Linked DNA regions of Arabidopsis thaliana. The protein of the gene in region 1 interacts with the protein of each later gene in a pairwise test. Each region holds a gene or a part of one and is shown on either strand. Other genes may lie near its edges. The genes, in order: CID5, PAB2 and PAB5.

What was found.
Region 2: the proteins of CID5 (region 1) and PAB2 interact in a two-hybrid assay, tested with the Arabidopsis thaliana proteins (one study listed by BioGRID).
Region 3: the proteins of CID5 (region 1) and PAB5 interact in a two-hybrid assay, tested with the Arabidopsis thaliana proteins (one study listed by BioGRID).

The regions. Positions count from the first base shown.
Region 1 is NC_003076.8:3,652,091-3,655,887, reverse strand, and holds CID5 (CTC-interacting domain 5), read left to right. Parts: upstream 1-1,685; 5' UTR 1,686-1,748; exon of another isoform or gene 1,749-1,974; intron 1,975-2,256; 5' UTR 2,257-2,280; coding exon 2,281-2,604; intron 2,605-2,684; coding exon 2,685-2,828; 3' UTR 2,829-3,174; downstream 3,175-3,797. Other genes in the region: PPD5 (PsbP domain protein (Mog1/PsbP/DUF1795-like photosystem II reaction center PsbP family protein)), read right to left, coding at 15-74, 166-225, 306-401, 494-561, 641-690, 770-899, 1,097-1,272, 1,364-1,467; AT5G11430 (SPOC domain / Transcription elongation factor S-II protein), read right to left, coding at 3,632-3,797. UniProt on the Arabidopsis thaliana protein: Promotes polyploidy in dark-grown seedlings. Regulates the endocycle leading to hypocotyl elongation.
Region 2 is NC_003075.7:16,334,671-16,340,916, forward strand, and holds PAB2 (poly(A) binding protein 2), read left to right. Parts: upstream 1-1,620; 5' UTR 1,621-2,061; coding exon 2,062-2,329; intron 2,330-2,562; coding exon 2,563-2,681; intron 2,682-2,868; coding exon 2,869-3,525; intron 3,526-3,614; coding exon 3,615-3,692; intron 3,693-3,767; coding exon 3,768-3,857; intron 3,858-4,124; coding exon 4,125-4,262; intron 4,263-4,496; coding exon 4,497-4,667; intron 4,668-4,769; coding exon 4,770-4,919; intron 4,920-5,003; coding exon 5,004-5,222; 3' UTR 5,223-5,644; downstream 5,645-6,246. Other genes in the region: CER9 (RING/U-box superfamily protein), read left to right, coding at 1-194. UniProt on the Arabidopsis thaliana protein: Binds the poly(A) tail of mRNA. Appears to be an important mediator of the multiple roles of the poly(A) tail in mRNA biogenesis, stability and translation. In the cytoplasm, affects both translation and mRNA decay.
Region 3 is NC_003070.9:26,989,930-26,996,066, reverse strand, and holds PAB5 (poly(A)-binding protein 5), read left to right. Parts: upstream 1-1,807; 5' UTR 1,808-1,964; intron 1,965-2,459; 5' UTR 2,460-2,577; coding exon 2,578-2,911; intron 2,912-3,080; coding exon 3,081-3,862; intron 3,863-3,957; coding exon 3,958-4,035; intron 4,036-4,129; coding exon 4,130-4,219; intron 4,220-4,319; coding exon 4,320-4,640; intron 4,641-4,748; coding exon 4,749-4,961; intron 4,962-5,059; coding exon 5,060-5,290; 3' UTR 5,291-5,542; downstream 5,543-6,137. Other genes in the region: AT1G71780 (WD repeat protein), read left to right, coding at 452-661; AT1G71760 (uncharacterized protein), read right to left, coding at 5,568-5,812, 5,897-6,121. UniProt on the Arabidopsis thaliana protein: Binds the poly(A) tail of mRNA. Appears to be an important mediator of the multiple roles of the poly(A) tail in mRNA biogenesis, stability and translation.

The DNA.
Region 1 (3,797 bases):
TTAGAGAGCATTACAATTTTGGTTGGTGATTTGCGGACAAGGTACTCGTAGTACCAGTAAGGCTCCCCATCAATCTACATATAGTAAGCATATGAGACTTGTGAGCTTTGTAGATTCAATTTTTTTTACGTTGTTATATGATTTGTTGTGGAAGATCATACTCACATCACTAGCATGAGCATCAAGAACCGAACTCTCTTCAAGACGCTGACTTGAGGTGACACGCTGCTCATTTAAACAATCTGTTTAATGTTTAAGAAAAGGAGAATTGGTAACTGTGATGTGTTTCATGTTAGAAGGGTTACCAATGCTGATTTATCAGACAAAACAGAATCAGCAACTTCTTTAGCGGACCATGTTTTCTTTTCTTTTGATGTTAATCTTGAGTTTGGGGGACCTATCTGAATCAAAAACCGTAAAAGACATATCACGAGAAAGATAGCAAAGAGAAGCAAAGCAGTCTTATGCTAAATGGGCAACACCAGAAACTTACCGAAATAGAAATGACGAGGTTGTCAGTTAGGTCAACTCGTTCAGAAACAATCCGTAAACGTGCATCAGCTGGACCAGTTGAAACAGATTCAGTAACAAGTTAATGCATCCAGAATTCATGAAAATCAAAAGGAAGCATAGAACTTACGAGAGAGTGGTGCAGCTGAAGAGTATCTTTCAGGCTTTCTTGATTCAACCCTGCATAACCAAAATGTAAAAGAGTGAGATACAGCTTGAACTAAAAGGAAGCATTACATCAAAAGGATTCAGTCAATACCATTTGAAGACAAGCTTCTCAGATGGATAATCCAATGGGTAAGCATAAGAATAAGCATTAATATCATCCACCATTGTACCCATTTTCAATTCTTCTCCACTCATTTTCACGTCTTCTTCTGCATGAGTGACTGCAATAACAAAACTGTAAACGTTACATAACCAAAAAAAGTAGATGATTATTAATGGACTAAACACTGTAAGAGATTCTCAATTTTCTTCCTTTCTCTCTACTAACCAATGAAAGGCAAGATTTTTAAGTAGAAGTGAAACTATCTAATTGAATCTACAAGATATTAAAAGACGAACAATAGAAGCAAAGCATTACCTGGAGAAGACAATGGCAAGAACATAGACAACGGAGAAGAGAGACCAATGAGCACTAAATCCCTACGAGAAAGCCCCTTTTCCGAAGAAATTGATCTCGTAGACACACCAGAACGAGCAATCATCAGCTCCTTTGAGGCTCCATGATACTTGCTCGAAATATTGCTGCTCCTGCACCTGAACACAATCTCATCCGAAATCACAAAAACATCTTACAGAAAAAGCCACTGGCTCGAGCACACAAGAAACATCACAAAAGATAATTAACCTGAAAAGACGAGAATTCGGAGAGGGAAGAGAAGGACAGAGAAGAGCCATAGCTATGGCGTGTTCTGGAGCTTCTTCACTTTGCTTCTTCCCTTTAGCTCTCATCCATTCACTCCTTCGTTTTGATACTTTTTAAACCGGTGGTTATCAATCGGTTTATTAAACCGAATTAATTTCAATCACGTATATTAGTATCCCGGTTAAAGATAAATATAACCGGGTATCCAAACGAACCCCATCGTGATGTTTGGTGTCCTTCATGTAAACGGACACTAACCTATACGATAATAATTCCATAAATACATGGGTTTGCCACATTAATCGCATCATTTAGGTCTCTGTCTCTACAATTTATTCGAGCGATCTTCAACGCTAGTTTTTGTTTGGTAAGCTCATTTTCTTCTCTCCTAATGTTTCGTTTCTTCTTCTCCTTTTACGTCGATCGTTGACAAGGTCAACAAACATTATTCCTTCTTTTCATTTTGTTTTGCATATAATCCACTCTTCTTCGCATCATTTCTTCTTTGTCAAGAATCTTTTACTTTTGCCCTGTTTTCTGTATTTTCCGACATCGATTTTTCCATGCAGTAACAACGCGAGCCAGATTCTAATGTAACCACATTTCTTTATTTTAATATCTTCAATTTATTTCCTTTAGATTCCTTATATACTCTGTGTTACGCCATCGAAACGTTGGCTTAGGAGTTAGGTCTCTTCATATCCTTTTTATTTTTTTTTGTTGAAATCATTAAAGGTTGTTTCATCATACCTCGTTAGACCAAATTTGAGATTGTTAGATTTTGCTGCATACGACATGTTTGGTTCTAATCAATATATCATTGTTTTGTATTTCTTTTCTGTCTCTGACTCTTAATTAACTTCTAAATTTAGCAGTAACTTTATCAGCAAGACAAAGCAATGAAGCCAGGAGCATTTGCATTGAATCCACATGCAGCATCGTATGTACCAATCTCCAAAAGAGTGGATTATGGTGGCGGTGATGATGGTTTGGTGTTTGCAGCAAAGTCCCCCACGGTTGAAGTGTCAATGCCGAAGAAATCCTCTGAAATGGCTTATAAGCAGATCAGGGATGATGATTTGGATTTGGAGATGGATATAGACATGGATATTGAATACCTTCTTGTCACTTTCTCTGGTCTCTCACAAGAGTCTATCACTGATGTTTACCTCGCTAATGGCGGTGATCTTGAAGCAACCATTGAGATGCTGAATCAGCTTGAGGTATATTCATTACTCACGTTTATTTTTTGTTTGATGTAATGATCTTAAGTGATGATTTTGATCACTCTTTTTCTATATAGATATACAGCACTGAATCTGAAGAAAACCTGCCAGAGACACTTGATATTGGGGATATCTCTGAGTCAGGGCCTTCAACATCAAAATCTACTGAAGTCGCTGCATCCACATCATCGGTTATCCCTAATGCACCTGTATCGGCCTGATCTCATGAATCCTTTAGTTGTGAAGTTTTGCTTCTTCTTCTTTTTCTTTTGTTTTGGTTTGCATACCCATAATAAGTACAGTAATGGGGGTATTGTATCAATGAAGTTGATGGTATCTAAGAGAAATGATGATATGTGAGTAGTTGGAAAATGTATAGTTTTGGAAGTTCAAATCTGAGTGGTGTGTTGTTTGGGCAGATTAGATTAGTCTGGTCTTTTTTGACCCCTTTTTTTATTTTGCAGCTCCATCTGTGGATTGGATTTTCCTATGAATAATATGATATTGATATGTTTATTATGGTGTATATGTAATCATCCTTTTAAAACTAGTACCAGTAACTTTGACAAAGGAGAATCTTTATAAGTTATAACCTTATTATTAACTTGTAAACCGAAATAAACTGAAATCTTCATCCGTTTAGAGCAAATTTTCCTGCAGGCTTGAACTCTGAGCCGAGCGGCCCATCAAAAAATCTTACTCTCGTTAGCCTCATTTTCAATAATCCTTTTAGATTCATGGTGAAACCTAGATAGAAGAAATTACTTGCTGATTTCCGGATTAAATTTGATGTTCAAACAAGATTTTGACATTTTAGCAAGATTCCACAATCAAACTTGTCTTTAAAAGCAGAGCAATACTGATTTTCGTTTTCTTGAGGAAACTCTGAAATGTTTTATTTGAAAAGTTGGGACTCTTCGAACATTTGCATTCTACGATGGCTACAAATTTTTTGAAAACGAAAAACTAAAGAGAGACTAGGAAACCAAAAAACTACAATTACAGAGAACACTCAACAGAGATATTAAAATCCTCTGTTTCTTGACTGGTTCCGCTCATAGTGTTGCCCTGATCCTCCGTTTTGATTATCATACCAACCATCTTGAGGCGGTCTAAATACCTCGGGTCTGAAGCCGAGAGGTGGAGGCGGCGGTGGTGGAAGCTGGTGGCTAGGGACGTGTGGCTGCCAT
Region 2 (6,246 bases), on another chromosome or scaffold:
GAAACCTTCACAACTCTATCCGTGATGACCGTTATCTCATTGGTCGGAGACTGCATAACTTTGGGGAAGCTGCTTTAGCTAATCAAAACCAAAACCAAAGTAGTGAGGATGCAGGAGATGGTGTCTTGATAGGACGAGAGGGAGATGTTGATAATGGACTTAGGCTCAGACGTGCAATCCAACAAGAAGCTTAGAAAGAAACTGTGCACTGAGGCGTTTAACATTTTGTGTACTTAAGCCGTTAAGAGATGGCTTTGAAAGATTTATTATTAGTCGATGTGTAAATTATTATATCCGTTGATGATTCTCTTTTTTTTGTTTTTGTGTACGAAACTAAAAGATCTTTAGAATAATGCTTCGTTTGTCCATATGCCTTGTGTGTTTCTATGATAATGCTTCTAGAATACCTTCGCTTACTGCAAATTCTTGTCTTTTGTCTCTTATGTTAGTGCATGTAAGCCTTAAGGAATTGGCGTTGAAGATCTATTTGGCCGATGTGTGATTGTAGACATACTCGTTGATACTGTTTTTGGTTTTTTATTTTCCAACAGAATAAAAATAAGAGGAATGTTATAACCCCATTAGATAGATGTCCATATCAGGTTCATCTCAGACCCATATGCTTCAAGGGTTATGGGTACTTAGAGAGATTGTGTTCCCGATTGTGATGAAACTCCTAACGGCTTTATGTGTGCCTTATGTGTTGGCGAGAGGAGTGTTCCCAATGCTCGGATATCCGCTAGTAGTGAACTCAGCGGTCTACAGATTCGCATGGATAGGTTGTCTCTCAGTGAGCCTCTTCTGCTTCTGGTTTAGAAACCTTCACAACTCTATCCGTGATGACCGTTATCTCATTGGTCGGAGACTCCATAACTTTGGGGAAGCTGCTTTGGCAAAACCAAAGTAGTGAGGATGCGGGAGATGGTATCTTGATAGGACTTTAGGGAGATGTTGATAATGGACTTAAGGCTCAGACGTGCAATCCAACAAGAAGCTTAGAAAGAAACTGTGCACTGAGTCGTATTAACTTAGGCTTGGAAATATTTACTAGTCAATGTGTATCCCGTTGATCCTCTTTTGTTTGTGTATAATATCCAAAGGATCTTAAGAAATGAGTAATGACGCTTCGTATATATATATGCCTTGTGTGTTTCTACTTTCTATTGTAATGCTTTTTGAAATGATTGCGTATTGCAAAATCTCATCTCTCATCTTATGTTCTTTCGTGTCACAATTCTACTGGAAGGCCAATCGTGTATTAAGTTGAATTGTTTTGATAAGTCAAATCTTAACATATTGGTTATTTAATTAAGATACTTTTTGCATACCATATAAAATCGTGCGGTAAATATTAATATTAACAACTTTTACTTTAGGAAAATCAAAATTCATCAAGATCCAGTGAGAATATTGCTAATCAGAGTTAAGAAATGTTAAGATAAATCAAAGAAAATATCATCACTGTACAAAATTTTAACAAACTTGGTTACTAATTAGATTCGAAAGTGTCAAACACGCGCGTATCTGTTTGACTTTTCCGAAAGTGACGAGAAGGAAGACGACCTTATCAATTCACCAGCAACTCTAAAATCAATCCTACGATTTACTTCAGACTCGATCCAACGGCTGAGATCAATCTCACACTCCTAGGGTTCTTCTAGGGGAATTAAAGGTTTCTTTTTTTTGTTGGGTTAATAATATAAAAGCAAAGAAAAGGAGAAACCGTAATGCTTCTTTTTCATCTATCGTAATTGTGCTTGTTTCGCCTAGAATCTCTCGGCCCCCAAATATCTCACTCGCCGTCGCAGGCTTCGCCGCCGGCAATTTCTTACCCTATTTCATCTTCCCTCTCCTCTGATATACCCATAAAAACACAAAAAAAACGAAAAGATAAAAACTTTGGCTTTAGTTTTGTTGATTTTGTCATTCGATTCGATTTCTTTTTCTTCTTTCAAATTCTAGGGTTTTCGATTTGGTTTCAGTCTAATAACGAGAGGGGAGGGAAGAGTAACTAAAACCCCAAAAAAAGTCAAAAAAGTTTCGAAAATCCAAAAAAAGATAATGGCGCAGGTTCAACTTCAGGGTCAGACTCCGAATGGTTCGACCGCGGCGGTCACTTCTGCTCCGGCGACGTCAGGTGGAGCAACGGCGACCCAGTTTGGTAACACGTCGCTTTATGTGGGGGATCTCGATTTCAATGTGACGGACTCGCAGCTTTTCGATGCGTTTGGCCAAATGGGTACTGTGGTCACCGTTCGTGTCTGTAGGGATTTGGTCACTCGCCGATCTCTTGGCTATGGATACGTTAACTTCACCAATCCCCAAGACGGTTAGTCTCCTTAATTTTATTTGGACTTCTTCTTACAATTTCCAATTTTTAGGGTTTGCTCGATAGTACCAGTACTGGATTTGAATGAGGTGTGTTTTAAATGTTGATACTTTATGGTGTTTGTATGTATGCAATGTGGTTGGTGCTGTTGGAAAGCTTATCCCCTGCTTAATCAATCTTTTTAATGCTACTTCTGTCTTCTAATGGTACTTTATCTCGTGTCTTTGTTGCAGCTGCAAGAGCGATCCAAGAACTGAATTACATACCTCTTTATGGAAAACCTATTAGGGTTATGTATTCTCATCGTGATCCTAGTGTTCGCCGAAGTGGCGCTGGCAACATTTTTATTAAGGTACGCTTGTCTCTATCCTTCTGACATTTGAGTTGCTGTAAGACGAGATGATTGTTGCGAAAAAATTTGTATCTTGTATTATTCATTGAAAAGTCTGGCAAAAGTAGTTGATTTCTTTAGTTATGTAAGTTTTTTTATTGGGTGTTCTTTCTCTCTTTCTGATGCTAAACCTGGCTATAATATGCAGAATTTGGACGAGTCCATCGACCACAAAGCACTGCATGATACTTTTTCATCGTTTGGAAACATTGTGTCGTGCAAGGTAGCTGTCGATTCTTCAGGCCAGTCAAAAGGCTATGGGTTTGTGCAATACGCCAATGAAGAATCTGCCCAGAAAGCTATAGAGAAACTGAACGGCATGTTGCTCAATGACAAGCAAGTGTATGTGGGTCCTTTCCTGAGGAGACAAGAAAGAGACTCCACTGCTAACAAAACGAAATTCACCAATGTGTATGTGAAGAATCTCGCGGAAAGTACTACCGATGATGACTTGAAGAATGCTTTTGGCGAGTATGGAAAGATAACAAGTGCTGTCGTGATGAAAGATGGAGAAGGGAAGTCCAAGGGCTTTGGGTTTGTCAACTTTGAAAATGCTGATGATGCTGCTAGGGCTGTGGAGTCTCTCAATGGGCACAAATTTGATGATAAGGAGTGGTATGTTGGTAGAGCCCAGAAGAAGTCAGAGAGGGAAACAGAATTAAGGGTCCGTTATGAACAGAATTTGAAGGAAGCTGCAGACAAGTTTCAAAGTTCAAACTTGTATGTTAAGAATTTGGATCCTAGCATTTCAGATGAGAAACTTAAAGAGATCTTTTCTCCTTTTGGTACCGTTACATCTAGCAAGGTTCAATGTCCCTCTCTCTCTCTCTTTATTTGTAGTGAGTTGACTCTCCTAGTTCATTATTTAAGAAGTTCTTTTATTAAATATTACAGGTGATGCGGGATCCTAATGGAACAAGCAAAGGCTCAGGTTTTGTTGCTTTCGCAACTCCCGAAGAAGCAACTGAAGCTGTAAGTCAGTTGTATCGTCTTGTTGATTGTATTTATGAGGACTTTGATTGTTAGTAACAGTGGAATACTGTACAGATGTCACAGTTGAGCGGTAAAATGATCGAAAGCAAGCCACTCTATGTGGCTATTGCACAGCGGAAGGAAGACAGAAGGGTCAGACTACAGGTTTGCTTCTCTTGGAATCACCTCGTCTTGTGATACACTTACTACTCCTACTTTGCCTGTTGGAGTTTCAACTCTAAACAATTGGACCCATCATGTACAAGTCTTAGAATGTCCCACTGCGTATAATTATCAATACTGATGCTGATTCTTCTTTATAATCAAGTGCAACAATATATAAAGCATAAACAACATATGTCCTAGTATTTTTGTATCACAGAAAAATCTCTTTTTTCTCCTGCTGCTGAGTATTTGCATTGATGTGAATAGGCTCAGTTTTCCCAAGTGAGGCCAGTTGCAATGCAGCCGTCTGTTGGTCCCCGCATGCCAGTGTATCCCCCGGGTGGTCCTGGTATTGGACAACAAATGTTCTATGGTCAGGCCCCTCCTGCCATGATTCCTCCCCAGGTAATCTTCATGTTACTCTACTTTAAGTAGCCGTGTACGATTTTACACAAAGATATGCACATGTTTATTTTCTACCTTGGGTATAATGAATTACAAGCTGACAGATGCTTTTAAGTCACATGAAAAGTTTTTAAATTCTTTAGCTCTATAGTTGCTATACTCATACTTGAGCCTTTCCAAATCTATTTTGAAACTGCTGGGATAATATTAACCTGTACTTATGCAATGCCACAGCCTGGGTATGGATACCAACAGCAGCTTGTTCCTGGAATGAGACCTGGTGGGGGTCCTGTACCCAGTTTCTTCATGCCTATGGTTCAGCCACAGCAGCAGCGTCCTGGAGGAGGAAGACGTCCTGGGGGAATCCAACACTCCCAGCAGCAAAATCCCATGATGCAGCAACAGGTTCTTCTCTTTTCCTTATTTAATTGCAATAAAGGCTGCTTTGCTTGCTTGGCTCTCTTTTAATAGTTGATCGTATGGTTTTTCTGTTTGGATGGTGGTTAGATGCATCCAAGGGGTCGGATGTTCCGGTATCCCCAAGGGCGTGGTGGTAGTGGTGATGTGCCTCCATATGATATGGGCAACAACATGCCATTGACTATTGGAGCTTTGGCTTCAAATCTGTCTAATGCTACTCCAGAGCAACAGAGGACGGTGAGAGAATCTCTTAAAAACCAAATAGAGAGACTGGTTTTGCTTGGATTATAATAATGTGACCCTTTGGGTGTGTTTGTACAGATGCTGGGTGAGGTGCTGTACCCGTTGGTGGAGCAGGTTGAGGCAGAGTCTGCAGCCAAAGTGACTGGGATGCTTTTGGAGATGGACCAGACTGAAGTGCTCCATCTGTTGGAGTCACCAGAAGCTCTCAAGGCCAAAGTTGCAGAGGCTATGGATGTTCTCAGGAGTGTCGCTGCTGGTGGTGCAACCGAGCAGCTCGCTTCCTTGAACCTCTCTTAAATTGCTTTTTATCATTTGATCTTTGGCTTTTGTCTCTCCCATACAATTGGAGTTGTTTCTTTGCTATTCGTTTTCTCCCTGGGAATTTGGATTCCTCCACATAACTGCGTTTGTGTTATTTTAAACCTTCGTTTTTAAACCACAAAGGAAAAACCTATCTGCTTTGTTCTTTTGATTTAGTTGCGTGTTCTAGCTTGTTCGATCTAGTGTTCACGGAAGATGAATTTGATTACCAATAAGGCCAATGCTGGTGATCCCCCTCTTTGGCCTTTTGACTGTTGGTGGTTGTTGCTTCTAGTCATTTTTTTTACCAGTTTTTCAAGCTCTATTTTATGGTAAAAAGGTGTCCTGGTAAAAATGGATGAATGGGTCTCATTCTCAGCAGACAATGTTTGAATGAGAAAGAAATACATTTTAAACTTTTTATACACTTTGCTTCTAGATTGATTGGGACTAGTCGAATAGAAATCTTAGTAGAGGTCTAAGGAAACATGATACACATCTTGTTTGGTTGAAATCTTACCATTGTTTTTGGTTTCAGTTATTGATCTGGTTTTTGGACTACTTTTTCTGCAACTATTTGAGAATGAGAAATTACTTACCAAAAAAAAGAAAGTCTTCATCTACGCCAAGGATTTAGAATATTCGTACATGAATTTTGATTTCCAGTACATTGCGTCATGAACTATATAGTCTACTTGTTTTTTTTTGTATCTATTTGACATGCAGCAAAGCCAGCAACACATCTTTTATTGAGTCTGATGATATTTGTGAACTAATTCGAAAATATTTAAAAGATTCGAGTGTATGAAAGGTTTAACTATTATCAAAATCTCTAGATATTTCAACTGATGGCAACACTCAACAATCTCACAATCACGACATAAAAATCCAATAACACTTGAAACCAAAAGAGGGTTCAAATTAGGGTTTCTTGTTAAATCGAAATTGGACTTTTATTTATTTATTAACATCTGACTTTTGAGTTTTGACCAAAAAAAAAGATGGAAAATATCGCTTTGAA
Region 3 (6,137 bases), on another chromosome or scaffold:
TGCTTCTTGTCTCCTTTACATGTTCTTCATACCCTTGGATTGTAGAATTACTCTACATTGGCGTTCTGCATTTAGATAAGTTGATGGTTTTCTTTTGATTGTGCTCATAAACCTCATACATGTCTCTAGACTTTCTAGGCTTCTTTACTCTTCAATTGCCCTGGAATATCAATTAACGTGGATTCGGTGTCTCATGGAACCTTAGGTTTAGGTCAAAGCTTGTATTCTTACTTAAAGTAAACAATTTCTTGGAATCACTCCTATGGCTCATAGATTTAGAATACGCATGTAGAAACTAGAATGGATGTCATGGTATTCTGACTTCGTTGGGGCGTAAAAAGTCTTTGGATAATATTGTTGCAAGAACAGAAAAAAAAAGCATTAAAACATGCAGCTTTAATTGGGTGATTCATCTGATAACACTATTAATTTGAACACCTTTTGTTTTCAGGATTCCCTGCTCAAACCCATCACCAGAATCATTCTCGGAGTTGTGATTGTTACGCTCTTAATAACATTTCTATTGAAAGACCCTCCAGCTTGGATCAAGAACAACATCTCCATTGGGACCTTTCCTCCATGGGTGCTCGCATGCATAGTTATAGTTTTCACTCGAGCTAGAAAGAGAACCAGGGACTTCTTCAAGAAGTATGGCTGGTAGTTTCGCAGACCCTAACACTCGTCTCGCTTAAAATGTGGTCGAAATTTGTAGTCTTTCATCGACCATATATATAGAGGTTCTCTTGCCTTAACCCAACAAGTTCCCTTCCTTGGCAAGACTCTTCGTCTTTGATACGCCTTGAGGCGCCAAATTGCTTGCTTTCAGAACTAAGAGAGAGCAATCATTTTCTTCATTTGCATTTTGTTGAAGTTTATAGTTTTATGCATTTCCATGTGTAATGCGATTTGGTTTTTGCCATTTTGATGGAAACTGATACTTATTTTCTAAAACCCAATAGTTTGGCAACAAGCCTGTCCATATTTAATCTCTACATTCCTCCCTGATAATATGAAAATTTAGTCTTGTAACGCATGACATGCTCAGTTTCGTACATATGTCAGATAGTGTTTCAGAAATATCTAAAATGAATGACAACATCACCCATATCGAACTTACTTTTTGGTGGTAGAAAATATTTAGTCGACTAGAGTCTGACATTTTACTCTATTAATCACGAGTACTTAGCAATCTCTGTTCAATAGATTTCAACTGTTGTATTTATTGATGATGGAATTTTTTAAAGATCAAAATTGTCTCATCCACAAAATATTGTCCATGAATTCTATAGATTAGCCTTGTGGCATACCAAAAATCTGTCTCATGTTTTAAACAATTCTATGGAAATATGTTGATATTGATTTAATGTATAAAATTGAGTTTATCGCGGCTGCGTTGACGTTGCTGATAACATCCTGCTTGACACTATCTGGAATTCCTAATTTACTAAGAATTTTGATGATTTTAATAATATTATTGAAAGTGAATAAATGAAAGATTCTAAACTATTGTAGATGTTATTAGTTTAGAATTTGTAAAAAGTAATATAAAATCTTCATAAATCTGAAGTTATTTGATTTATATTTTTATAAAATTATTAAATATTTTGCGTTATTCAATTAAAACAAAATAATCTATGATTGTTAATGAATTAAATTATTCTGTTAATGGTTTATGATTTTTTACATTTTTCTTCACAAAATAAAATCATGAAAGTATCATCAAAATCGAGAGATTGTTTAAATTTTTTTACGAGATTGTGAAAAACAAATCAACAAGATTATAAAAAACTCTCTAGCAATAGTTTATAATCTTTCATTTATTTACTTTCTATGATATTATTAAAGTCATCAAAATTTCGTGTAAATTATGAACCAATAAAGCCTCTTTTAACAAAAAAAACAGACATGACGATAACAACAAAATAATTAAGAAGGAGAAGTAGACGGAAAAAAAAAAAAAAAAAGTAGAGTAATAAGATGTTAAGAAAAAACATAAATATCTATGTGGCACTAGATCTCATCTATAAGACGTTAGTCGTAGTTTTTTGCGAGTATATGAAGAGCAGACTTAACAGATTCATTCGGTTGCGGCTTCCGTTTAGAACGCATGATCCCTTCTACTTCTTCGTCAAAATTGTGTTCAGTTTTCTTTATTTGTTTTAATGATTGTTGTATTTGGATGGTTATATATCATATAAATTTAAATTTTTATAATATAATATAATTGATTATCATTAAAAAAAAAACATGTGGCATTGGATTATTGGCCAGGACAGAAAAAGCCCATTGGCCCACAAAAAGATCCCAGATGTGAATTAAAAAGCTGAGTCAAAACTCAAAAGCCACGTCAAATCAAACTCTGATCCGTAGGGACCGGTTGGTTAGCGAATGTATAAATACCAACTCTCATTCTTTCACACCCTTTCGAGTCTCTCTACTCCTCTTCTTATTCACCGGAGTAACCCAAAAAAAAAAAGGAAAAAATATAAAAATAAATATTCTCCCCTAAAAATTTTGGAAAACCACAAACAGAAATCTCTCTGTCTCACCCTAGAAAAACCTAGAAATCTTATCGCTATGGCTGCGGCGGTTGCATCTGGAATTGCCCCGACGACGGCCATGGTTGATCAAGTGATCCCTAATCAACCCACGGTTGCTGCTGCTGCTCCTCCTCCTTTCCCTGCCGTGAGTCAGGTTGCGGCGGTTGCTGCTGCTGCTGCTGCCGCGGAGGCTTTGCAAACCCATCCAAACTCGTCTCTCTATGTCGGAGATTTAGATCCGAGTGTCAATGAGTCACATCTCTTGGATCTCTTTAATCAAGTTGCTCCAGTTCACAATCTTAGGGTTTGTCGTGATCTGACTCATCGTTCTCTTGGTTACGCTTACGTCAATTTCGCTAACCCTGAAGATGGTAAATATTATAAACAATCATACAGGAATTTAATATTATTATTATGGATTACGACAGGAATATAATATTGTTCATGTGTTTGCTTTTGTGGTTTTGTTCTTTTTGCTGTTTTGTTTTGTTTTGTTTTGCTGTTTTGTAATTAAAGTTTTGTGTTTTTTTATTGGATCAGCGAGTCGTGCGATGGAAAGTCTCAACTATGCTCCGATCAGAGACAGGCCTATAAGGATCATGCTCTCTAATCGTGATCCGAGCACTAGATTGAGTGGGAAAGGCAATGTTTTCATCAAAAACCTTGATGCATCGATTGATAACAAAGCTTTGTATGAAACTTTCTCGTCTTTCGGGACGATTCTCTCTTGCAAGGTTGCAATGGATGTGGTGGGACGTTCGAAAGGATATGGCTTTGTCCAGTTTGAGAAAGAGGAAACCGCTCAGGCTGCTATTGACAAGCTTAATGGTATGTTGCTTAATGATAAGCAAGTCTTTGTTGGCCATTTTGTCCGTCGTCAAGACAGGGCACGTAGTGAGAGTGGTGCGGTGCCGAGCTTCACTAACGTTTATGTTAAGAATCTTCCTAAGGAGATTACTGATGATGAGCTTAAGAAGACTTTTGGGAAATATGGAGATATTTCTAGTGCGGTTGTGATGAAGGATCAGAGTGGGAACTCGAGGTCTTTCGGGTTTGTCAACTTTGTGAGCCCTGAAGCTGCTGCAGTTGCTGTTGAAAAGATGAACGGTATCAGCCTTGGGGAGGATGTGTTGTATGTTGGTAGGGCACAGAAGAAGTCTGATAGGGAAGAGGAATTGAGGAGGAAGTTTGAGCAAGAGAGGATAAGCAGGTTTGAGAAATTGCAAGGATCGAATCTGTATTTGAAGAACCTTGATGATAGTGTGAATGATGAGAAGCTCAAGGAGATGTTCTCTGAGTATGGGAATGTGACTTCCTGCAAGGTTTGTTTCTGATTCTAAACATCTCTAAACTTTATACATAAGTTTATACCACACAATATAATGAATTAAAATGTTTTGTTTGTGGTCATAATTAGGTTATGATGAATTCACAAGGTTTAAGCAGAGGTTTTGGTTTTGTTGCTTACTCCAATCCTGAAGAAGCTTTATTAGCTGTAAGTTTCAACTGAATTGACAATCTTTTTACATATACATAAATGTTTTATAAAATTGGTACTAAAATGTTCATTGGGGTTGATGATTACGCAGATGAAAGAAATGAATGGGAAGATGATAGGAAGGAAACCTCTTTACGTTGCTTTGGCACAACGTAAGGAAGAAAGACAGGCTCACCTTCAGGTTCTTTTTAGCCCTCTCACTCTTTGAACATCAAACTCTGTACTGTGTTGTGTTGTGACACTGAGTTCTTAAACTGTCTTGATGTTTTCACGTGTTTCAGAGTCTATTTACTCAAATCAGATCACCTGGAACAATGTCACCAGTTCCATCACCGATGTCTGGGTTCCATCATCACCCACCAGGTGGGCCAATGTCAGGACCACACCATCCAATGTTCATAGGCCATAACGGTCAAGGTTTGGTACCTTCACAGCCTATGGGGTATGGGTACCAAGTTCAGTTCATGCCTGGGATGCGTCCAGGTGCAGGCCCGCCTAACTTCATGATGCCTTTCCCTCTTCAAAGGCAAACTCAGCCTGGCCCTCGTGTTGGGTTCAGGCGTGGTGCTAATAACATGCAGCAGCAGTTTCAGCAACAACAAGTAAAGTTTTTATCATTAGTTCTTATGTCTTTTAGCAAGTTTATTATCTTTAACACAATCATACGAATATGAATTTGTTGGGGCTTGTTATTATCTTGGAACTGTCAGATGCTGCAGCAAAATGCAAGCAGATTCATGGGAGGCGCAGGCAACAGGAGGAATGGAATGGAAGCATCTGCTCCACAAGGCATCATCCCTTTGCCATTGAATGCATCTGCAAACTCTCACAATGCTCCGCAACGCTCTCACAAGCCAACTCCCCTCACCATTTCTAAGCTCGCATCTGATTTGGCTTTGGCTAGCCCCGACAAACACCCACGGGTTAGTGATCTCCTGTGTTTTCTTCTCTTATCTCATTTAGTACTTGCATTATAACCTATATTTGTTAACAATATCATTGCATTGTGAATTGATGACAGATGCTTGGGGATCATCTTTACCCACTTGTGGAGCAGCAGGAGCCAGCAAATGCTGCTAAAGTTACCGGGATGTTGCTGGAGATGGATCAAGCTGAGATTTTGCACCTTCTTGAGTCACCTGAAGCTCTTAAGGCTAAAGTGTCCGAGGCTCTGGATGTTCTCAGACGCTCTGCTGATCCAGCAGCTGTGTCATCTGTTGATGACCAGTTTGCTCTATCCTCATCCGAGTGAACATACTGTTTACTCAAGACTATGTTTCTCTCGCTTTCTTAGACAGTTGCTTTAATACCTTTTAGGACCTTTAAAACTAGCTTTTTCTTTTCTACATCTCTTTGATAGATTGTTTTGAGTTTTTCCCTTAGCATTGAGACTTTTACTCTTTAGCACTTTCTCTAGTTTCGTTAGGAGTCTATTTAATGTGTCAACTCTTTTGCAACTCCAAATTCGTTTCAGAAACTTTACATTTAGCATTTTATCTAATAATCGGCATTCTGGTTAAACATTCTGATCACATGAAATCTGGATGTACCTCGTCGTCTACTATCTGATATTCCGTATTTATCTCCATTACTGCTCTGTCCCATCCTCCTACTTCGTCATCCTTCAAGGCCTTTTTAACACCAAATCGCGGTGGTGCTTGGTGTTCTCCTTCGTCATCGATTAAGTAGGCGTCCCATTTCGAAGCTGGCTTAGTAACTCTTTCTGACTCTAGATTCCTCTCTTCCATATCCTTCTTCCTCGTCACTACTTCATCTGCAACACATTTGAAGGATAGGAGAATATTGTTTTAGTAAAACCATTCAGGCCTTTAATAAACAACATTCGCAACGGCTTTACTTGAACTAAACGCTGATATATGGCCAACATATGTAGCAGAACTCCTCTTACCGGATCGAAAATCCGGCTTTTTGATGCTGCGTCTGGAGAAAGAAGGCTTGAAGATCTCATTACTGTCTTTATTCTCACCTCCTGTATTTGATGATGATCCACCAGCATTAGACTCTTTGTTCAGCTTTGGCCTTTTGAACATATTGCTTGGCATCTCAGTGACAATCTTCACATCTGCAACAAAATCGCA